Linked DNA regions of Oryzias latipes. The protein of the gene in region 1 binds, or shares a complex with, the protein of each later gene. Links are inferred from orthologs where the notes say so. Each region holds a gene or a part of one and is shown on either strand. Other genes may lie near its edges. The genes, in order: c9h9orf78, ttf2, akap17a and ppp1r8.

The links.
Region 2: c9h9orf78 (region 1) and ttf2 share a complex: the UniProt entries of both Homo sapiens proteins name them as parts of the spliceosome. The link is inferred for Oryzias latipes from reciprocal best matches to the Homo sapiens genes C9orf78 and TTF2.
Region 3: c9h9orf78 (region 1) and akap17a share a complex: the UniProt entries of both Homo sapiens proteins name them as parts of the spliceosome. The link is inferred for Oryzias latipes from reciprocal best matches to the Homo sapiens genes C9orf78 and AKAP17A.
Region 4: c9h9orf78 (region 1) and ppp1r8 share a complex: the UniProt entries of both Homo sapiens proteins name them as parts of the spliceosome. The link is inferred for Oryzias latipes from reciprocal best matches to the Homo sapiens genes C9orf78 and PPP1R8.

What each region holds. Positions count from the first base shown.
Region 1 is NC_019867.2:17,114,842-17,120,330, reverse strand, and holds c9h9orf78 (telomere length and silencing protein 1 homolog), read right to left. Parts: upstream 2,801-5,489; 5' UTR 2,705-2,800; coding exon 2,625-2,704; intron 2,459-2,624; coding exon 2,399-2,458; intron 2,310-2,398; coding exon 2,258-2,309; intron 2,164-2,257; coding exon 2,093-2,163; intron 1,984-2,092; coding exon 1,906-1,983; intron 1,634-1,905; coding exon 1,436-1,633; intron 1,347-1,435; coding exon 1,210-1,346; intron 1,131-1,209; coding exon 1,023-1,130; intron 768-1,022; coding exon 667-767; 3' UTR 96-666; downstream 1-95. Other genes in the region: NFU1 iron-sulfur cluster scaffold homolog, mitochondrial, read left to right, coding at 2,863-2,921, 3,935-4,029, 4,323-4,458, 4,915-4,981, 5,056-5,173, 5,246-5,309, 5,394-5,489. UniProt on the Homo sapiens protein: Plays a role in pre-mRNA splicing by promoting usage of the upstream 3'-splice site at alternative NAGNAG splice sites; these are sites featuring alternative acceptor motifs separated by only a few nucleotides. May also modulate exon inclusion events.
Region 2 is NC_019879.2:11,144,180-11,149,695, reverse strand, and holds the start of ttf2 (transcription termination factor 2), read right to left. Parts: upstream 3,506-5,516; 5' UTR 3,422-3,505; coding exon 3,394-3,421; intron 3,186-3,393; coding exon 3,080-3,185; intron 2,881-3,079; coding exon 2,794-2,880; intron 2,107-2,793; coding exon 2,037-2,106; intron 1,722-2,036; coding exon 945-1,721; intron 836-944; coding exon 715-835; intron 44-714; coding exon 1-43. Other genes in the region: cenpj (centromere protein J), read left to right, coding at 4,443-4,814. UniProt on the Homo sapiens protein: DsDNA-dependent ATPase which acts as a transcription termination factor by coupling ATP hydrolysis with removal of RNA polymerase II from the DNA template. May contribute to mitotic transcription repression. May also be involved in pre-mRNA splicing.
Region 3 is NC_019879.2:18,185,311-18,190,977, reverse strand, and holds the start of akap17a (A-kinase anchor protein 17A), read right to left. Parts: upstream 3,522-5,667; 5' UTR 3,237-3,521; intron 2,655-3,236; 5' UTR 2,574-2,654; coding exon 2,241-2,573; intron 1,427-2,240; coding exon 1,208-1,426; intron 162-1,207; coding exon 1-161. UniProt on the Homo sapiens protein: Splice factor regulating alternative splice site selection for certain mRNA precursors. Mediates regulation of pre-mRNA splicing in a PKA-dependent manner.
Region 4 is NC_019874.2:22,801,909-22,807,508, reverse strand, and holds the start of ppp1r8 (nuclear inhibitor of protein phosphatase 1), read left to right. Parts: upstream 1-2,061; 5' UTR 2,062-2,108; coding exon 2,109-2,161; intron 2,162-2,606; coding exon 2,607-2,667; intron 2,668-2,779; exon of another isoform or gene 2,780-2,918; coding exon of another isoform or gene 2,919-2,936; exon of another isoform or gene 2,937-2,944; intron 2,945-3,005; coding exon 3,006-3,159; intron 3,160-3,609; coding exon 3,610-3,827; intron 3,828-4,148; coding exon 4,149-4,293; intron 4,294-4,716; coding exon 4,717-4,781; intron 4,782-5,140; coding exon 5,141-5,494; 3' UTR 5,495-5,600. Other genes in the region: protein THEMIS2, read right to left, coding at 204-396. UniProt on the Homo sapiens protein: Inhibitor subunit of the major nuclear protein phosphatase-1 (PP-1). It has RNA-binding activity but does not cleave RNA and may target PP-1 to RNA-associated substrates. May also be involved in pre-mRNA splicing.

The DNA.
Region 1 (5,489 bases):
TTGGACATGGACAGAACTCTTGTTCTGTGACAGCAGCATTTTTTTGTTTTCATTAAACCTTTGGTTGTGGTGTTACATTGATCTTATTTGAAACTGGATTTGAAAGTCCCATTTATTGTCCATACACATCTTTCAATGGTAACTTAATAAACTTCACAGAAAAGAAAAGAAAAAGATTTAAAAAATATGAATCTTTGAACATTGAATACAGTTTGACCTAAATATTTACACCTAACAAGCAATGTTTTTGTTATGTTTTAGCCAAAATAAAAGAACACATCGTTAATGGTTTTATCTTTTCTAACAGTTCAAGGAACAGGAAGTTATGTACATCGAAAATAAATTGAGCAGAAAAAGCTTTAAAAATTAATTTGAGAAACTGATCAGCAAGTAAAGTATGTTAAAGTTTCTTAATACTAATGATGCTGTTGGTATTCAAATTGTTGCAGGACTGAAGGAAGATTTGGTTTCAGTGTGAAGATTTTAAATGCTCATTAGCATTGAGGTTTTGTTTTTATCTACGAAATACAGGGGAAGATGTTTCTACAAACAATTGACCAAATACTAAATCGGAAGAAACAGCAAAGAAATGTGAATTATCTAAACTAATAACCATGTCACGACTGACAATAACTCTGCTGGACTCGGTAAAAAGCTGGATCTTTTTTAATATCTTCGATTCATCTTCTTGAACTTCTCATAGTGGTAGTCATCTGTGGCCTTCTCGTTGTTCGGCCGTTTGCGGAAGTTGGGTGGAGATGGAGCTGCTGAAGACAGTGTCATTTCAAATTTTAATTAATTAATATAGCTTTTAGTTTACATTTCTCAAAGATTTAAGAGAATATCTACAGGCTAAATATAAAACAATAAAAAGGAGGTGAGATTATTTGTAAAGTTAAATTAAAATAAATGTAATGATTTTCTTAAAAACCTTGTTTTATTTTATTACCTTAGAAAGACTAAATAAGAAACCAAAACAAAAAAACGGTCTTCTCTTAGCACTTGAAAGTGAAGTGTCATACCTTCTAGACCTGGTTTCTCTGTGTCACCCACACGCAGTGGTCTTGGTTTGGGTTCTGGTTCTTTGTGTCTGTGATGCCTCTGTGCTGCGTTTGAATCTTCATGATAGACTGAAACAAAAAGGACAATTTTCAAGTTACTCTCAGAGTCAGTTTTTTTTTTTTTCCTAGTTAAACTTCCAGAACTTACAGCGGTTATGTTGGACGTAATTCACCGCAATGTTAGTGGGCACGAATGAGGTGCCATTGTCTTTTTTCTTGTTTCTTTGTTCCGCGATAAGCTTTGCTTTTGCCTCCTCCGTCTGGATAATATTCTTTATCTTTGCACTAGAAAAGCAATCACAAACAGGTTAAGCACACACTAAACCTCCTGAAGAGTTAAAGCAGGGATCATTTTTGCAGCTTCCTGAACATACTCAATGCCAAGGTCAACTTCCGGGATCCCACTCAGCATCTGATTGGACAACATCTCCTCCGTCTTCTTGGCAGAATTGACTCGGATGTTCTCAGGAAGTTCGTAGAGGTGGTCCTCTGGATTTTTTACTTTGATTTTCTGTTCCTCTGCCTCCACCAGTCCTTTTTTCTTCTTCAACTCTGTCTCAATATACTTCATCCTGTAAGAAGAAATTCAAGACTTATTTCTGCAATGACAAATCTTTATGCACAAAAAAAGGGAGAGTTTTGAGGCATTCGTATATGGGGCCATTTATCCAACAAGCAATGCACCAAACTCTAATAGCTGATGATAAAACATCATGGAATCACAGTCTAAGGAGCTCTGATTCCAAAATACCTCATATGGATTTGGTTTTTTTCTAAGTGTTTGTTTTAAAAGGTGTGGATAAGGCCATTAAAGTTTTATAGTATTTGTACAGCGAGTCCTTACATGTCTGCATCTTCATCTCTTCTGTTAGTTTCAGCTGAGAAGGATGTACCCAGATTCAGCTCCGTCTCATCTTCTGTCCTGAAAACAACCAAAAACAATGCATTATGTACAGAATGGCAAGCTGTGTAAGACATTCATAAAATGAATAAGAATATAAAAAAATAAAATAAAAAAACATTTTACTTACATGTCTCTATTTCTATCCTTCACCTTTTTCATGTCTATCACGCCTCCTGTCTTGAGCTTAAACGGGTCATTCTGTTGAAAACAGTGATTGTTTGTTACACAAGTCTTGTTGCTGTTGTGACTCAGACATGCAGTGCAGTGTTAGGAACATCCGGACCATACGTACATCAATTTCAGCCTCTGGTGGAAGTTTCTCTCCAACGAGTAATGCAGTCACACTAAAGAATAACAACACGTTTTTTTTTTTAACTCACGTACATCTGGTAAAAATATTTTGAGTTCGAGAAACAACAGTGATAATGATTACCTGACACCGGTTTGACGTTTCCTTAAACTCTGGATTTCTTTAGCCTCCTCTAGCTTTGATCTTTGCAAACAAGATAGAAGCACAGATTCGAAGTGGTAAACTTTTGTTCCAATAAAAATCTTAAAATTTAGATGTAGTTTAAAAAAAATCATGAACAGACACAACGACGTTAGCCGGAGGCTGGCTACCTCAGTAGCTGGCGCAAGTTTGCGTCTAACTAACTCACCTGACTTCTTCGGTTGTCTCATCTTCCTCTTCGTCATCTGATGAGTCCCTTCTCCTCCTAAAATTTTTACCGGAAGGCATTTTTGTATTGTATCGGTTTCCTTATAACGCAGAGCTTTACAAAAACCGACTTTCGCGTTAGCAGTCTCGGGGAACACTTTAACAGATGAACAAAATACTTACGTCATTTCCGCTTGCGCAATCCACATTTCCGTCTTGTTTAGCTAACCATAACAATCATGGCGGCGTACGCACAGTTTGGAAGGTTGCTGGGCGTTTCAGCGAGACTTTTAAGGCCGTAAGTGCTTTGCATTTGGGTTTCTGTTTTTATTAATCTTTCTCGTAATTCATGTATGAATGTGTGTATGAACACAGAGGACATGAAAGCGGTTACATTTAATGACATGGCTCACTTACATACATGGCATGCGTCGCATGACACAAATGAACTGTTCACACTCACTGAGGATTTCCAAAACATTCTTACAAATAACAGAACGTATCTATAAAAAATATAGCCGGTTTTTTAGATGCCGTGTCTGGAGAAACATTTAAATGCACGTGCAAACTTCACTTTTATAGACATTTAGACCACATAATGGACACTTTAAACTTTTGTGACCTTAAGTAAGCTGGATTGTTATTGAAATTTGTTTTCTATTCAGTCATCTAGCTTTTTATCGTTATCATTCCTCAGTCGTGCAATACATTTCACTGCACACATACAATAGATGTATATGTGTGTGACAAATAAAATGTCTATTAAAAAAAAACAATGATTTTTATTTTATGTGGAGGCTGTTGCTTCTGTGATTCTACAATTTTAACACTTCAAAAATATGTAAAGGCAAAAAACAAGAAGAGATTTAGAATTAATATGAATTATTTACTTTATATTTGAACACTTAGATTGTTCATTAATCTCCTAACTATGCTTTTTTTGTATACAGTGATCCCTTGCTATAACGCGGTGTACTTTTCACGGTTTCGCTACTTCACGGATTTGCATCGTGCATTGTGTTCTGCATTCTGATTGGCTAAAAAGTCACTCCGCTTCTTCTCTACCTGTGCGTCAATAACGTTGCAGTTTAATATGTACACGTACTTAAATCAGCTTGCCAAATTTACATTACGTACGTGCAAATTCTTTTGCAATTTCGAGTTTCTCTAAACCCCATAGAAAAAAGAGCGACAACAACTGTCAATCACTATGTTCTTCCCAAACACTAAACATACCTGAAATGTTTACATTTATAACAGTTGTTGTTTGTCATTAAAGTTTTTCTGTTTTGTTTTTTTTATGAATTTTAGGCTCGTTGGCAGCGGCTGTCCAAGCACTGGATTTCCATCACAGGCAACAAGAGTCTCAAACAGAATGCCACTAAACCCCATTTGGGTTATTCCTGGTTTGTTGTCTTATTCCATCATCCAGTATTTGCATTAGTTTTTAAACACTGGTACTATGATATAGAGGTGATTGCAGCATGTTCTAAGAAAGTGTTCAAACTGTGAGCATGTCCAATCTGGATGTGTACATTTGGGGTTTAGTCACAACAAATACCAAACTACATGTAGGTAAAGTTTATTTTGTCGTGAGAAAATCCTGTGTGTGAACTTGAAGTAAAAAACCAGACATATCTCTTCCACCTTCTTACTACTGTTGTCACTTTGTGGTTCTTCTTGTTTTGTCTATATTCAGGACGAACAATGTTTGTGCAGACGCAGGACACTCCTAATCCAAACAGTCTGAAGTTTCTGCCTGGCCGGACGGTTCTTGAAGAAGGGACTATGGATTTTGGAGGCCCTCGTGACGCATACTGCTCCCCCTTAGCCAGGTATAGGACTCATTAAACACGGATGTACACATTTTTGTCAAGTTGAATTTTACTGGAGGCTTTTGGAACAAGTTATAGAAAACTAACTAATTGCTATTTCTAACAACACTGCAATGCAATCCCTCTAATAAATGAGCTAACATTACTTTTTTAAATGTTTGTTTTTGCAAGGGAATATACTTTTCATTTAAAAAATTAATTTCCCTTGACTTCTGTTTTCACCTCAGATTATTTTGCAGGTATGCATACTGCTTTTTAAAACATTTGTGCTAAAAAATATTGAGAATTATTTTGTTTGGGATAATATATTTGATATATTATTTTACTTACTTACATTTACTTATTACTTATTTCTTTATTCTGTTTCTTCATGATACCAACAAAGTCTTGTCAAATGGCCCAAACATTAAATGCATTCAATTGCAACACTAAATTCGTGTTATTTTGTGTTTGTAGGCAGCTTTTTAGGATTGATGGAGTTAAAAGTGTTTTTCTTGGCCCAGATTTCATTACGATCACAAAGGTAAAACCATCACATGAATATATGTCAAGTTGTCAGCATTATCCTGAATGAGCGACATACACTTTCTCCTCTAGTCTGATGCAAACATGGAATGGAAAGTAATAAAACCAGATGTATTTGCTGCTATCATGGATTTCTTTACTTCTGGACTCCCTGTTGTCAATGAGGACAGCAAGCCCAGCGCAGACACAGGTACGTATTATTCTGCACTGAAGAGTAAATAGACTTTTTAAAAATCCAGAGACATTCGATTTCTCTTCACAGCACCGTCAGATGAGGATGATGAAGTGGTTGCTATGATCAAAGAGCTCCTGGACACTAGAATAAGGTAAGACCTCTTGAAATGAAACTCTGGAATCCCTTTATTTCTTAAAGCTGTTGTTTTCTATTACGCTGTTTTCTCGCTCTGCAGGCCAACGGTGCAGGAGGACGGCGGCGATGTTGTGTACAGAGGGTTTGAGGATGGAGTCGTTAAACTGAAGTTGCAAGGCTCGTGTACCAGTTGCCC
Region 2 (5,516 bases), on another chromosome or scaffold:
AAGGTGGTGCCTTTGTCGGGTTTTCTGCTCTCATCCACTGATTCTGAAAAAAAATTTTTATGACAGTGTTGGTGAATGAATAAAAGCCTGGAAACAATAAATCTACCAATTTAGCGAATCAAAGTTTGGAACTTTGAAGACCCGCTGATGAAAATTGTGTTTTGGGTGTTTTTAACATGTTCTTGCAGCATTTTTCTGATGATGGAGGACAAAGAAAATTCAACTTTAAGTTGCATTTCTGAGTATTTCTTTATTCAAATGGTTGAGAATCAGAAGCAACTGAATACGGGTAATGCCATTTGAAAAAGCTTGTAGTCAGGCAGAAGCTACAATCGGCCGGCCACAAGCTCTTGATTTCCTTGTCCGTGCTGGTATCTGGTTCAAAACTTTACAGCTTGATAGTCCCAATATTACTTCTTATTGCATTTCTGTTGCACTGGTAATGGTGAATTTCTAATGCTGCTCGGCAGAAAATATGTCCTAGAAAACAACTGTTTCTTTTTTTTTGGCTACAAACAGCATAATAATGATTAAAAAAAACTACTTGGAACGCTTTTACATTAGATCAGAATATCATTAGAGTGGGACTTGAAACTGTCTTTGTATTATAGTCATTCCTCATTTACCTTCAATAAGCATCAACAAGCTAATATGTAAATCAAAATGACAGAACCCGTGTGTTTCTGAACCTTAAGAGTGTGGCAGACACCTCACCTGTATGAGAAGCTGCAGACAAACTCAGTGACTCCAGCTCGTCCTCCAATTCTTTGATCTGGATTTGCAGTTTCTCTCCTTTATCTGGCAAAGCAGCCACATTTATAGCAGAGAGAGTGGCCTTCAGGGACAAAAAAAGGAAATGACATCTTAAGAGAAGGTCTATTTTCCTGTTATGACAGAAAAACATTTGTTTTTTTTTATTCTTACTAGAAAAACTTCCTGTGTACCTTTTTCTGTTTGAGCTGAACAGACAGCAGGTTAAGCCTCTCTTTAGGGCCTCCCTGCTTTGCCACACACTGGAACCCTGGAAAGTTGGTTATGGTCTTTTGGATCGCAGATGTCGGGGTGGTTTTCTGAGAGGCGGGTTTCTCTGACACAAACACTACATCGTCATTGGTTTCATCTCTGTTGGATCTGCTCTCTTCAGAATCCTCATCTAATATAGCAACACAGCCAGGGCTCCTAGAAGCATGTGAGCTGTTGCTGGGTTTGGATTCAGTGATGCTCCTTTGGACCGGGGGGTCAGTTTGATTCCCTGGCAGGGCTTTGTCACTAGTTTGCAAACTTTTGTGAACATCAGAGGAAACTTGATTCATTTTTTCAGGCTGAACTTCTGTGCTTGATGTAGACGTCTTATTTTGCGCTCCTTCAAGCTTCTTCTCAGTTTTTTCTGTGATCACAGCTGTTGTCTTTTCTATGCTGTCAGTTTTGCTGCTGTCCTCCCCCGATGTCCTCTTCTTTATCTTCATCCCCTGTGGAAGTGTTTTACCTTGATAGGTGTTTATTTTTTCTGCAATTTCCTTCCGAAAACCTTCTCCACCTTCAGCCATGTGACTTGTCTTCATGTTTTTCTTCTCGCTCTCCTTGTGTCCAGCAACCTCCATCTTCTTCCAATCAGAGTCTTTGTACATCTTTCCAGGAGCCTTAAAAGGGTTTCTGATAGGAGGGATGCAGGAAGGCTGAAGCTGTGTGCTTAACAGAGGGATTCTGTTTTCTTTTTCTTGCTGCAGTGGAATAGGATAAGAATTAATAAAGAAGTCAAACCACAAATGAAAATAATTATGTAAATTAAAAGAACTGTATTATTTTGATCAAATTTGAGTGGTGACTTATTGCAGGTAATTTTTCTTATGATATAAAAATGCAAGATATTCATAGGAATATCAGATAGGAAAAATGTGCAGTTACAACACAATAAGATGCTGTTTTTATTAGAGAAATTAAAATGTAACAACTAAGAGATGAGAAAGAAGCCTGTCCTGAATTAAAGACGAGATGTCACCGCCTTGGTTTGAGATTAAATGTGTAACAGGTCTTACTGTAGTCCAAGGAACACTACCACACCATCTCTGTCCGGACTTTTTACCCACAATGCATCTGTAGTAAAGCCTTGAAAAAAAAAAAACAAAGAAAAGAAGAGTCATATTTCACATTCCCATCTTAAAGTCCCCCAAACCAATCATCTTTTGCAAAAGCGTTCCCAACTGTCTTTTAATTGTAATTATACTTTTTTTCCACCTAAATTGAACCCTGCGTCGTTTGCCAGGAGGTAGTTTCTGCAGAGCGGCAGTTGTTTATAAGAAATTCACCTCTGAGTTCAGTTGTGGGTGGGACAGTTGGTGCACAGCAACCCGTTACCCATAACCCATACATACTCTCACACTAGCTATTGGTGCGACAGAAATGGCGAACAATATCAGAGCTATCCACCCATACAGTTTTGAGCCGGGTGTCAGCTCAGACGAGGAAAACAAAGACGTACATGAGATAAATTGTCTGCAAGTGGATGCATCAGAATGGAGCGCAGCAGGGAGCTTGCGACCCATCCAGCGGATTTTCTACGTCACAAATAAGCTGTTTTTATAAACACAATTTTTTCTTCTGATCCTGATTTACAATGATTTAAAGAAAGAAAGACCCAGAAAAGCAATTTTAAGCCTGATTTTCTTTTTATGTGTTCTGCATCATCAGAAAAATGCAACATTTAAGTTTTATAGCAACACATATGAAAACATTTTAAAAACACAATTTTCGTCAGAGGAGGTCTGTAAGTGTGAAGGATAAACACACACATACCTGTGGCTTTGGTGTTTCTGGCTGAAGCTGATGGCCTGAAGTTCTACCATTGAATCTTCATGGTTGATGCAGTGGGAGGGAGGGAGACTGGCACACATGACAGCGACAGTTATTACAAGGCATAATCATAAACCTACACAAAACCACGCCATTATCAAACTAAACTATATATTCTGCACTTGTAGATAACTGATCTCTCTGAATATACTATAGAAAGTTCTAAAATAAAAACTAGATTTTAAAACTGAAAGTCACACCCGCGAGGCCGAGGCATTGGGGAAATTACCTGGTCTGTTGACTAAAGTCACAGCCCTGCTCGCTTACGCAGACGTAGAAACTTTTGCCTTTACTCGGTCCGTCCTTAACCCCTGTTTTCAACATACAAATGCCACCTGCAAAAGAAAGCAGATACGGAAAAACTGAGAAATTTGCAAGTCCCACACCACTATCGACGAGCTACACTTTGACTTTAGTTTAAGTTTTAGGTCAAAACGAAAATTCTATGCTAACATGACATTAAATGACAGCAAGCGTTTCCAAACTTAAAATGACGACAGCACATTTTATTTAAACAAGATCAAATAATATGTATTGACGTACCGTGGTCACTGCACAAAACCTTCTCCATTGTCTCAACGTATTTAAGCTTTGGTTTCTAACTGCCCTGCGTGTCATCAAACTCGGGTATTTTTGTTTCGACCAATCAAAACGTCCAGAAGGCACATCCGGTTTTAGGAACACCCCATGAAAGGGTGGGCTTTTTTTATTTCCAAAAGATTGGGTAAAATAAAAATTATTAAAATAAAATAAGGACACATATTAGTCAGTGTCAAAACGATTAATACAAAAAACAGCTGTTCAAATACTAAATATGTAAGACATAATAAATAAATGACTTTGGGTTCTGAAACATGGACTTGACCCGGATGTAATTCGTGTGGCTGTTGGTCTGCTTCTAAAGGTGAGCGTTATGTTTATCTAAATTTGTTTAGTCACTTATATTATTAAATATATTTAGTATAATTTAAAATAATTACAACAATAAATTAAAAAAATTGAGATCTTAAAGTCTAAAAAATTTTAACTATAATACCCACAATTCACCAGTGCTGCAGAACTCTCGCGGGCTTTGTTTTGATATGGCGGCAGCTTTCAAAACTTGTTTCTGGTGTAAATACACAACGTTTTATGTTACAAGAACGAGGCTGCATTTCTTGTGTATTGAAGGTAAATATCTTTGGATTAGATTATAATGCGTACTTTTTTTATTTTGTTAATAATTTTTAAAAGAAACGTTACAGTTTTGGCAAACAGCGGGAGCGGGTAACATGATACGTTTTTTTGTGTAGATAGATCCACCCTGGGCCTGATTACACTAAATGACAGTAACCTTTTTTAAAATATTTAAACAAATGTTGATTACAACAATTTAATGTTAGCAGTTTAATTAGCTGTTGTCACTAACGGTATTATTTGCAGACACACTGTTCGTTAAAGTTTAACGTCTGACACTTTTTTTAAAATTTATTTGGGATTTTTAACGTGAATCCTTTCCGGTGATGTCTCGTCATGATGAAATTAACCTTTAACCGGCCACTGTAATCTGTTTTTCAAATCCCGGATTAGCTTCCTAAACAACCTGGGTCAACATGACATCTCCTGCCGGGCTTGGCTTCCCCGAGCCAGACATCCTGGCTCGCTGGACGCCGAGCAGGACCCGCGCCGGCGTCATCCTCCATCCCTCACCGGATTTGGCCGGATCGCTGCGGTACGTCACTGCCAAGGGGCCCGCGCCGCAGATGCCGGAGGACTCCTTCGCCTCTGACTTCGCCCCTCTGTCCGCCTCCACAGACAGCAGCCTCATTGGCGCTGAAGGCTGTGAGCGGCCTGTTCGCGGGGATGTAACGTATAGGCCGACGAACTGCGAACTGTCTGTACCGACAGCAATCCTACAGGATCAGTTCGACAAACTGGATGCGATGGCAAACGAAGATTTACCCATAATGATGAAACTGGAACAGGTAAGAACTTTTCTAATAAATTATTATATCTTTACTTCTCATCATACCTTTAAGTCCCACTCCGATCATCTTTTAATCTATTTTCAAAGCATTTCCAGTGGTCTTTGAATCACGAAGATGCCGTTTTTAGCCAGGACCAAAAAACCCGTGTCGTTTTTAGGACATAGTTTCTGCAGAGTAGCAATAGTTCATCAGAAATTCACGTCTGAGTTGTGGGCAGGACCGTTGGCATGAAACAACTCCGCCCCCTTTCCCTTCACTGTTACTGAGAGCTTTCTGTTTACAGTCTCTCCCTCTAGCTTCCAGCCCCTCGTACCCCCTGTAGGAACCCCCAACCGTAACATTTGAATAGAAAACAGTCATAAATGCAATTTTAAGCGTAATTTTTTCATATATGTACTCCATCATCAGAAAAATGCCACAAAAGCATGTTAAAAACACCATTTTCATCAGAGGCCAGTGGTATGTCACCTACAGTACAATGCATAAAAAGACAAATCCACTGGAAAAATCTGAATAGTGGGTAAATATTCAGCTCCAATATCCAGCCATTCCATATAAATACCAACACTCTGCCTGCACAATAAATTGCACATTTATCATCACTGTGATATCAGTCTGTGTAGTATGCATATTGGAAAAGACACCTTAAAGTGCCATAAATGGTTACCTTAAATCTATACACACATGCTAAGCCAATCT
Region 3 (5,667 bases), on another chromosome or scaffold:
ATGCCGCGGAGCGTATCCATGGCTTTTGTGAAGAAGCCATACTCCTGATACTGGACAAAAGCTTCAAAGTTTAGGTGGCCTCCAAAGCTGAAGGTACTGAAGTTTTTGTCCATCATCTCCTCCCTATAAGGGTCCAGCATGGGGATGTCAACATTGCGCACCTACAAAAACAAGATTACACAATATTTCTGGTTTATTAGTTGAACCTTAAAATAACTTTGATCGTCTTAAGAATAAAAGAAATAGTGAAGCAACTAGATTCAAACAAATGGAAGGGATAACTCCTTCAAAATGAGTTTCATTTAGTCATCCAGTCAACACATGCAGGCAGGCATAGACATTGCCTGAATAAAAAGAAGCTTCATAAAAACTATAAGAACTTCAATCAGTACTTTCTTGGATGATAATCCTATTTGGTGAATAAATAACCGCCTAATCGGTTAATCACCAAAAATACATTTGATGTAAAAATGAATATTTCATTCTATCTACCACCAAACTTTTATACTGTGGCAAGTAGAGGATCCAGATTAGATCAAGGCATTTTAACCATAATTTCATCTGGATTCTTTAATTGCCACAGTAAAAATGTTTTAGCGAATTTATTGAAGGAAAAAGTAGTTATTTTCATCCAACACTGGTTTAACAAATTCTTTGGAAAAATATATAATCCAACTGAATCAGAACTTGCCTTTTTATTTGTTTGTCATAACAAATTAAAAGTCCAGAATTGACAAAGACAACACAAAATATGTTGCCATTATTTCATCTCTTCTTCTACTTGGTGTTTGGATTTTATTATTGGTTTATTAATAAAGAACTCTGACGCTTAGGGGGTCTTTCTGATCTTTGAACTCAGACACTTTCACCTGGGTTCTCTAATTGGATGTAAAAAAAAAGCAGAAATACAGACTTCTTCCTACACAAAAAAAAAAAATAGATTCAGACAAACTGTTCCAAAGAAGAGCAAAAAATGAAAAACATTAACAGTATGAGGTTCTATAAATGCTCTAACATGTTAATAGAGGGAAAGCTGATCAGCAAACCTTTGCAACTATAAACAATCTGTATTTTTCTATTTAATTTAGCTTTTTGCTGAGAAAACATGATTTGTACTGAACAGCCTGGTTAAACGTATAGAAATGTAAAAATAGTCACATACAGAACTACCAACTGAGAAGAATGTATGTCTTTAATCGACAATTACCTTCCCAAATGTCTGGAAAACAGCAATGAGGACTTCTTCTGAGGGCCGATCTGGGAACTGACTGTCTTTCTGACTGAACCAGCGACAGGGAAGGCCTTCCAGGTGGATGGTGTCCGGCCTCTCTCCAGGCAGGGTCTCATTCATGTCCTTAGCATCACGGAAAAAGGAGTCCCAGTCATGGCGGGTGGGGAATTCCACCTTATTTTCTACTGCCCGAACCTGAGGGACGAAGACAGACCAACGAATGCATCACATACAGTCCATCCATTTTGTGGTAGAGATATAGTTGAAGTATTAGTCTAATGGAACAAATTATAATGTATAAAAGTCTTTAAAGTCCCACTCCAATCATTTTTTGATCTATTGTAAAGTGGCCGGGATAGGCTCCGGCAGCCCCGTGACCCTGAAAGGGAATAAACGATAGAAGATGAATGAAAAAAATGAATCAATGTAATCGTTGCGTATTCTTCTAGGACAGAGTTGCTACAGAGCGGCTGGAGTTCATTAAAAATTTGCCTTCGAGTTGTGGGCGGAACTGTTGGCACAGAGTAAGCCTGTCCCCTTCCCATCATCCATCTGTTTACGTTCTTTCCCGCTAGCTTTCAGTCCCCTCACAACCCCGACATGACATTACTGGTGCACCAAGAATTGCGCCCAATATCGGAGCTATCCAGCTGTACAGTTCTGAGCTAGATGTCAGCTCAGATGAGGAAAACAAAGACGTACATGGATCTATTTGTCTGCAAGTGGATGCATCAGAGTGGAGCGGAGCAAGGGGGGTTTGTGGCTTGCCATCGTAGTTTCTAAATCCCACCTACAAGTAATTTTTTGTCTGCTCCTGATTCACATGATTTCACTAAAGAAATACTCAGAAATACTAATTTAAGCTTGATATTTTTCGTAGATGTCTCCACCATCAGAAAAATGCTACAAATTCATAATTAAAAACACCCAAAACACGGTTTTCATCAGAGTGCGTCTTTAGTTTAAACGCAATAATTAAGCAATTGGTGATTCAAACTGTCAGCCTTACCTTGAGCACATCGGTGAATCCACTAAGTTTAATGGTCTTTCCATCAAGACGGCTTAGCAGGCCTTTGACCACAGTCTTGTTCTCCACCTCGCCCTCAAAGCGGATGAAGTCCATGGTGCTCTTGGAGATTCTGAGGGCGGAGAACTGCTCAGGAGCGACCATCGCCTTCACCCTCTCCATCACTTCCCAGTTGGAGATGCTCTTGCCTGGCAGCTTGAGCTGGGGTAGGGCCACGCTGACGGTCATTTTAGCTATCGGCTTGAGGTACAAATTGTACTCGGCGGACAAGCAGACTGCCTCTGTGGTGTCGTGGACGATGGTGGTCATTGTCATTCAGAGACGAGTGAGGATGCCCCAAGGACCAGAAAAATCAGAGATTTTCCAGCTAAGCTAGTTCACACATCTACGCAGACCCTGTAGCCAAAACAAGAACAAAAATATCACAAAGAAATAAAGAGAATTCCACAAAACTGACAGATTTAGACAGGACTTGTGTATGCCAGTCCCCAATGCTACACATTTCTTTTTTTTAATCACTATTATTGTTGTTATATTCACTTTTTTTGACTAGTGATTTTATTCTATATGACTGTCTGTTATATATGGTTGTGGTGTTTATATGTAGACCTCAAGTCTGTAAATAAACAAATTAATTGATGCTATTCAGCTTAACCTCTAGCTGTTACAATTCTATTCAATGTTTTTTCTTAATACTCGAATCAAATCAGTAGCATATTTATACACGAATAATACTATACAGGGGGAACATATTTAATTTACTAGCAAATAATTACTTACAAGTACTTTAAATAAATGAATACCAAACCAAAACATCAGCTAAGTTACCGCTAACTTGAGCTACCCATCATGCTACGCAACGAACAGAAATACATTTAGGATCGTAAATCAATAATAATGAGGGGAAACGTGATAAACAGCGTCACAAACACACCAAGTCATTCTTTTCGCACAAAGTCATCAGTCATAATCACTTACTCTATGGTTTGCGTGGCGGGGAACCGTGTAGTTAGCTTAGATAGCTCCAGCACCACAGATGCCTTTTTTCTCCAGTGTAGCAGCTGTCTGCTATTACATAAGAGTTGGCTAACGTTAGTTATTTTTAACAACAACTCGCCAAACATTTAAGTCTGGGTGTATAAAGAGTTCCTGAGCCTGAGAGCCAGGCGCTGCAGAGTCAAACTATATATATCATACAACTATTTCATTGAAAAAAGCCGTGGTACGCCGATTCCGCATCCAGTGAACTTTGACCTGACAAGGAAACTACGAGAAACTGCTATTAGTGGCGGTGGGAAGAAACAGCGACACACTGTGGTAAAAGCTATACTATATATTAAAAAAAATAATATCCTCCTGAGACCCGGCCCATTCACTTATGTCCTCTATAATGGTCATTTTGTTTATCTGTATATTTCTAAGGAATTAAGAGATGCCTTTCCGAATCCTACTTTAATCTGTAGAGGACATCCTGGGCTTTCCATTGATGTGTCATGTGATGAGTTTGCATGCTGGGAACTTTAAGTTTTACCTCTACAAAGATGGCTTCCATGCCATTTACCTAATTTTATGGAAAGGTGAAAGGCAAGTCAAAAATTATGTATCTATTCCTTTTTTTACCATGATAATTATATATATTCTTGGTCATAAACATGTTAGGAACAATATTTTTAGATCTGAAAAAAGTTTCATGTTTTCGGTTTTAAAACAGCAGGCATTTAATGAATGTCCACTGTAGAGGACACCGGGACCATTTTAATGTATTTAATTGCTGCACATAATGTTTGGAGAAAAAAGTGAAGCAGAGAGGATTTTATACCAGATAGTTGAGAGAGATTCAGATTTGGAGCTTTGAGATGATAAAAAGGATGAGATTCAGGAAGAAATAACTGTTTTTTTTAAATAACTTGATTTTTTTGTGTTTTTTAAACGTCCATCATAAGAGGTTTACACCTGTACTACCAGGGCGCCCTGCCTATCAAGATGACGCCAAAGTTTGTGAATACCGGAGTTCAATCTCGTACTTTTCCCAGTACATTGATAACATTTTTGAGGATCTGTTTTTGATCTAGTTTTGTTCAAACTACCAGGGAATCACACACCCCCGGCTCTCTAGGAAAGTCAATAGGCCACAGTACTGGAGAAGACAGTCGGTCCGATAGTGGAACCTCAGATCCAGGAACAACAGTTAGGTTTCCGTCCTGGTCGTGGAACAGTATAACAGCTCTACACCCTCTCTAGGGTGCTGGAGGGAATGCGGGAGTTCGCTCATTCAGTCCAGATGTGTTTTGTGGATTTGGAGAAGGCGTTCGACCACGTCCGTCCCCCGTATCCTGTGGAGGGAACTATGGGAGTATGGGGTCCGGGGAGCCTTACTGAGGGCTGTCTGGTCTCTGCATGACCGGAGCAAGAGCTTGGTTCGCATAGCCGGCAGTAAGTCAAACCTGTTCCCGGTGCACGTTGGAGTCCAGCAGGTCTGCCCTTTATCACCGGTTCTGTTGATAGTTTTTATGGACAGAATTTCTAGGGCACAGGCAGGGCCCGGAGGGGGTCTGGTTTGGGGACCATAGGGTTTCATCTCTGCTCTTTGCAGATGATGTTGTCCTGTTGGCTTCATTAAGCCGGGACCTCCAGCATGCATTGGAGTGGTTTGTGGTAGAGTGTGAAATGGCCGGGATGAGGGTCAGCACTGCTAAATCTGAGCCCATGGTTTTCGACCAAAGAAAGGTAGTTTGCCATCTCTTGGTGGGTAGAGTGTCCCTGCCCCAGGTGGAGAAGTTTAAATATCTTGGAGTCTTGTCCATGAGTATGGGAAGACAGGAGCATGAGATTGACAGGTGGATCGGAGCAGCGTCCGTAGTTATGCGGTCGCTGTATCCGTCCGTTGCGGTGAGGAGAGAGCTGAGCCAATAAGCAAAGCTCTCAATTTAGCGGTCGATCTTCCTCTGTAGCAGATGGTCCAACAAGTAACAAAAGAGTGATGCTGAATTTTATTGTTTTAGAACAAAATGTAATGTTTTTTGGGTGAATATCACTCTAAAGATTTAATCTGCTCCTTTTTTCTGATTTTCCAAATTAACTTCTATTTTCACAGAAATATCGTCCTGTTGTCCTCTACAGTGGACGTGTTGGGAAATTAAAATAAAAAAAACATTTTTAAAAAAATTTAAATTGTAAGGTGTTTATTTAGGCCCAAATGGATAGGAAATCACAAAAAAACAGAAATTGTAAGACACTTTTTTTCTTCGGTTCTCAGGAGGATAAATATAATATATATCATATATTGTGTATCTGTATAACAATTCTGTATCTGATCAACTGCCACTGGTGCTTATATATATATATATATATATAGAGAGAGAGAGAGAGAGAGAGAGAGAGACAGAGAGAGAGAGAGAGACAGAGAGAG
Region 4 (5,600 bases), on another chromosome or scaffold:
ATGATCATCACATAAAATGCTTCATGAATGAGACCAGTGGAAGGAAGGAGGGAGGCACATACGCTAAAACAGGCTGAGAATGTTGAAATCCAGACGCAGTAGAACGTGTTTTAGTGCCCGCAGTTTCTGTGTTCCCTTAAACTTCTTTAAAATTTATACTGAAGTCTTTACTTTTCAAAGAACCAAAACCCCACAAGGCTTACCTTGAAAATACACTCCAGAGCACACTTGCAGAATCTTTGGCAAACTGGCCTTGTCCAAGGATGCAAAGTATTCTTGAAGCGGCAAAGCGATGGCACCTGCCATTGCTGTTTCTGTGCTGCTCTCAGAAATGAAAGCAGGAGGTAAATGACAAGCACAGCAAGAAAACAAAAAAAAAAGGAGATGCTCTCGCATCTAAAAACCACAAGAGTGAACAAGGAAGTTAAGGGAGTTATTTGCACAAGTTGTGCACACTGTGGTAAAGGCAGTGAGATATGACTCAGGTCTTGGCTCACAGACAATGTTACAGTTGTTGCAGCTTAATAAAATACACCACAAAGTGAATAAGAGTTTTTACAGATGTCATATATGCACATGAATGTGTGAGAGACAGAATCTGAGAAGAACAATTTCTCCTCTATCAATGGAACAAAACATAAAATGCATTCTTTCTGAATTAAAAATGTTCTAGAAGGACTAACTCTACTGCAATGCCTAAACCTTAGAACTCGTTTTATTTTATTTTACTGTATGCAAATGTACTTGGGTAAGGAAAACTGGATTTGGATGTGTGACACATTAACTAAACATGTGATCTTTACCCCTTTTGCAAATTATAGACGGAAAACATTTCATTTTTGGTTGAAGCCTTACATGTCTGAATCAAATGCAGTTAAAAGTTGTGTCTGCACCCCCTCTTTATGGATCCAGCTCACAGCGCTTTTCTGAAAATGTCTATCATCCTTTCTGAAAGTTCACTTCTGCTTCAGCTTTACACTTTATGCCATCTGTAAACAAAACTTTTACCATCTCCAGCTGACTAACAGAGGTCAACGCTGAACATATTTTTTTATTTAAAACATAGAACTCTAAATGGATCCAAGAGAGTCAGTTAATTTGAGGTAACCCCCCCCCCCCTTCCACCCACCTCAGGCCTGACCAAAAAAGCAAAAACCAGAAGGAGTTCACCCACTCACAAGCAGAAATAGATACAGACACAACTTCAAGCCCCCCAACACAGAATCCCACACATGTTGACCAATCATTTATTTCCAAGAAAATGTTTCCATTTTCAAATTAAGAGTTTAGAGACCTCTAGTGGTCTTTTGTAATTGAATTCTTCATGTTTATTAGGCAGCTTTACAAAGAAACATGCAAATCAAATAAAAAATTACTTGAATTATAACTGTTTTTGTTTGTTTGTTTTTCAAAATATAATATGATAATGTTTTTCATTAGTTAAGTATTTAAAAGTTACTCCCAAACCACTCATCATCTTGAAAAGAAACATTAAACATACAGTACAGACCAAACGTTTGGACAAACCTTCCCATTCATTTGAATGAGAAGGTGTGTCCAAACTTTTGGTCAGTACTGTAGTAAGAAGAACATCTTTCCTATGGGATAGATGGGGAGGCATGTGGTCGAGGGTTCTGCTGTGTAAACCATGAAGAGAAAAGAGAAAAGCTAACAAAAAAAGTCATTTTTGTCATCAAATATTTTTTATAACTTTTTCTGAGTCCCATTACAGGACTGTTGTGAAATTAAAATTAATGACATTATTATTAAAATTAATCTGTATATTTTTAATTAAAATATTACATTTTCTATGAATGGATTTAACACAAGTAAATCAAAATTGAACTTTTTTTGTTAATAAATCTTACAGTGCAATTAAGTTTTAAGTGAAGATCATTTGCCAAAAAAAAAAAAAAACTATTTCAAAAGTTTTACTAAAAAAGAATAATTCCCTGTATCCTGTACAAATCTGACGAATATTGCAATATGGTAAAATTATTATTAATATTATTACTCTTACTATCATTATTATCTCTGAACGACAACTCCCGACATCCCAATGTTTTGTTTACCCAGCATGCATTTTGGTTGCAATATGCTAAAGCAAGATGGCGACTAAAACAGGCAAAGACGGTCCTCCGCCTTTTGATTGTCCATCATGGTGAGAAAACTTACTTATTGCAGAACAAACTAGAAATTTGTAACGCGTTGCTGGATGTGCATTTGCAAAGCTATTTGACCTGTTCATTTGTGCCTTTTAATGCTAAGTAGAAGTCTGTAGTTGCAGTTGCTAACATTAGCTAGGTTAGCATGGTAACCCTTAGCGTTGTTGGCGTCAATTAACCAGAAGGGCTAGAAATTATTTATTCGAACGGGGAAAGCCGTGTTCTTTGTATGAGTAGAATTCACGTCCAGATCAATTAAAAATAATTATTATTATAAATGTGGAAAATATTTATCTTTAAAATATTTATTCTTGAAATAGCTAGCGCGGAGAGAAACATGTAAAAGACATTTGAATTCATTTATTGTAACATTAATTTGTGCATGATCCATGTTTGTTTGTTTTCCCTAAATATTGACAGTAGTTGATCGTCTGTTTACAGGGCAGGCAAACCCCCCACGGGGCTTCATCTTGACGTAATGAAGGGAGACAAACTGATAGAGGTAATAATTGAATGAAAATGTGCAGATGTTGGTCCTGTTATGCAGTAATATGACTGCTTATTCTGCTTTTGTGCCTTACTGTTGTTAAATCATGTATCGTGTAAGTCCATACATGCACCCATACACGAGCCTGACAGTCTGCTCTGTCCCTGATGTTTGAACATCAGGACAGGTCTGTGGCTGCATGGCTTCCAACGGTGCTACAGCAAAATCAGCCGTGAGGTTTAAGCTGATCAGTGGAAGCGACACTGATGAGTTATGACTCAGAGGTACACCTGTACTGTTGAAGCCATACTTTATGTGTGACTGACAGAAAAAACATTCTCTCTTTTCTATAGAAATTGATTATTGATGAGAAGAAGTTTTACCTTTTTGGGAGGAACCCCGACTGGTGTGACTTCACCATCGACCATCAGTCATGTTCCCGTGTTCATGCTGCCTTAGTCTACCACAAACACCTAAAAAGACTCTTCCTTATAGACCTCAACAGCAGTAAGGGATCGCTTTTAGTCCTACCTTTGTATTTGATTTATATTGTTGGAAGAAAGAAACGGTACACAAAGCAGAATGCAATACTGAAGCATTTTAATCATTTAGGAATTGAATACATTCTGCCATCACGTTTGATACATTTACGAATATTAAATCATATGAATAGAGTTAAAAGGATCACCACAGCTTCAACATCCATACACATTTTGTTTGTTTGTATTTCATGTGTTGTGATGAAATCACGGATCGTATCACTGAAAAATTTAGATTTGATCAACTTTCTGACTTTAAAGCAAATATCTTTCCCAATTGCTAAAAGAGTTGGAGTGTACGGTGGTGGTAAAAATTGCATCTTGTTTTGTTGTAGTATTGTTTCATTGTTATGACAGTGTTGCGTTACCTCTTTATTTTATTCTTTTGGGAAACCTTATTTGATTGTTACCCTTTCAGCACATGGTACTTTCCTTGGACACATCCGCCTCGAGGCCCACAAGCCTCAGCAGGTTCCTATAGACTCCACTTTAGCTTTTGGGGCTTCCACGCGAACGTATATCATCAGAGAGAAACCCCAAACCCAAGGCAGCACTAGCACAGGAGACAATAAGACGGGAGATGACGAGGAGCTCAAAGGACTTCTAGGTCTTCCAGAAGAAGAAACAGAGTTAGATGTACGTTATGTTTTCTGATCAATCTTGTTTTCATCTCTGTTTATTCCAGTCTTTTTGCCTGTTGATTCTTGAACTCTGGCTAAATTTGTCAAACTACTAAAGTTTAAGATTTGCTTGTTTGCTTTTATACAAATAGACCTGCATATTTTACTTTGACCATGTGTGCATGGTCAAAGTAAAAGTAAAAGTAAGTAGTGGCAAGGTTTAGTTTCAGAATACTACTATGTTTTTTCCCACTTATGAATCCTTTAATCCCGTCTACCGGTTGGTTGAAATGTTGTAGCCGCCTTACAAATGTTTGTGGTTTCTGAATCCTGTCAGAATCTGACAGAGTTCAACACAGCTCACAACAAGCGCATCTCGCTATTGACCATTGAAGAAGGCAACCTGGAAATCCAAAGACCTAAAAGGAAACGCAGAAACTCCAGAGTCACCTTCAGTGAAGAGGACTCCATCATTAACCCAGGTACTTACCAGTGTAAAAAATAAAAAACTTCATTTATGAACTTCTTGTTTTTAATCATAGCTGTTTTCACCTCTTGAGACAGGATGAATATTTTTTTGGTAGATTTCCTGTGGACTAGTTCTTTATATATATATATATAAGTTTATGTACTGGTAAATAGTTTTTTGTTTTTTTTGGGGGGGGTGTGTAGTTAATTTCCCTTTTTATTAAAGCACAGTCAAATAATTCTGTCAATGTTGCTTTCTAAAGATATACACCCAAATTTTAGTTTATGAAAAGGCTGAAAAATATTTGTAAAATACATTGATATTACTTTTGCAGTTGTGTCAAAGTGTGTCTATTCCATGTTATTCTCCAGTTATTAGGATTCTCATGAATGTAGATGTGTGAAAACATCTCTAAAAGGCTTTTTCTCCTTTTCAGAGGATATTGACCCCTCGGTCGGTCGCTTCAGGAACATGGTGCAAACAGCTGTCATCCCCATCAAGGTAAACTGTCGAAGGATTTTGGTGATTATTTGTATGAGAACTGGACCGAGCAAGAATGGTTTACTTCCAACAAAATGAAATTAATTAACGTTCAACATGAGACCATAATCTTATATTGAGGCGTCTGATTGGTCAGTTTATAACATGAATAACTTGCATTAAAGAAAAAAAATAAGATTAGCAAGAAGATGTTTTTGAAGGTAAAAAGAGCAAGAATAGTTATTTAATCGATGTGAACATATAGTGTTATAATTTAAATTCTGAACAGACTTTATGCCTTCTGTAAATCTGTAAAAGAAACAAAGTTGTACAGCTTCCAGCTTAACCCATCAGACTAATAGTTGACTTTTTTGTTGTAGAAACGCAGAGCGGAGGGCCAAAACACTCTGGGACTGGACGAGCTGACAGCAAAGCGCATGCATGGCTACAGCTTAGGTGGTGGTCTGTATGGGGACTTGCCTCCCACCAGTCATGAAAACCAGCCTACAGGAGCGCCCGGGGGTGCTGCCATGCAAGGAGGACTTCCTTTGCCCTTCCCAAACCCAGCGCCGGAGGTGGACCTGGCCCCAGAGGCTCCTCACCCCCCAATTTCTCTCAATCCCACGCCCGTCACAGCCCCGTATCTACCAGAGACCCTCAACGAGCCACGCAAAAAGAAGTACGCCAAAGAGGCTTGGCCAGGCAAAAAACCCACCCTTTCGCTACTTATCTGATGAGTTCTGGAAAGCTTCTTTCTGCCTCTCAGGTTACCAGAAGATGGGCCAGTCACTGTGACCTGGCAGAGATGGAGCCATTCACTTCTATTTACCCCCCATCAAT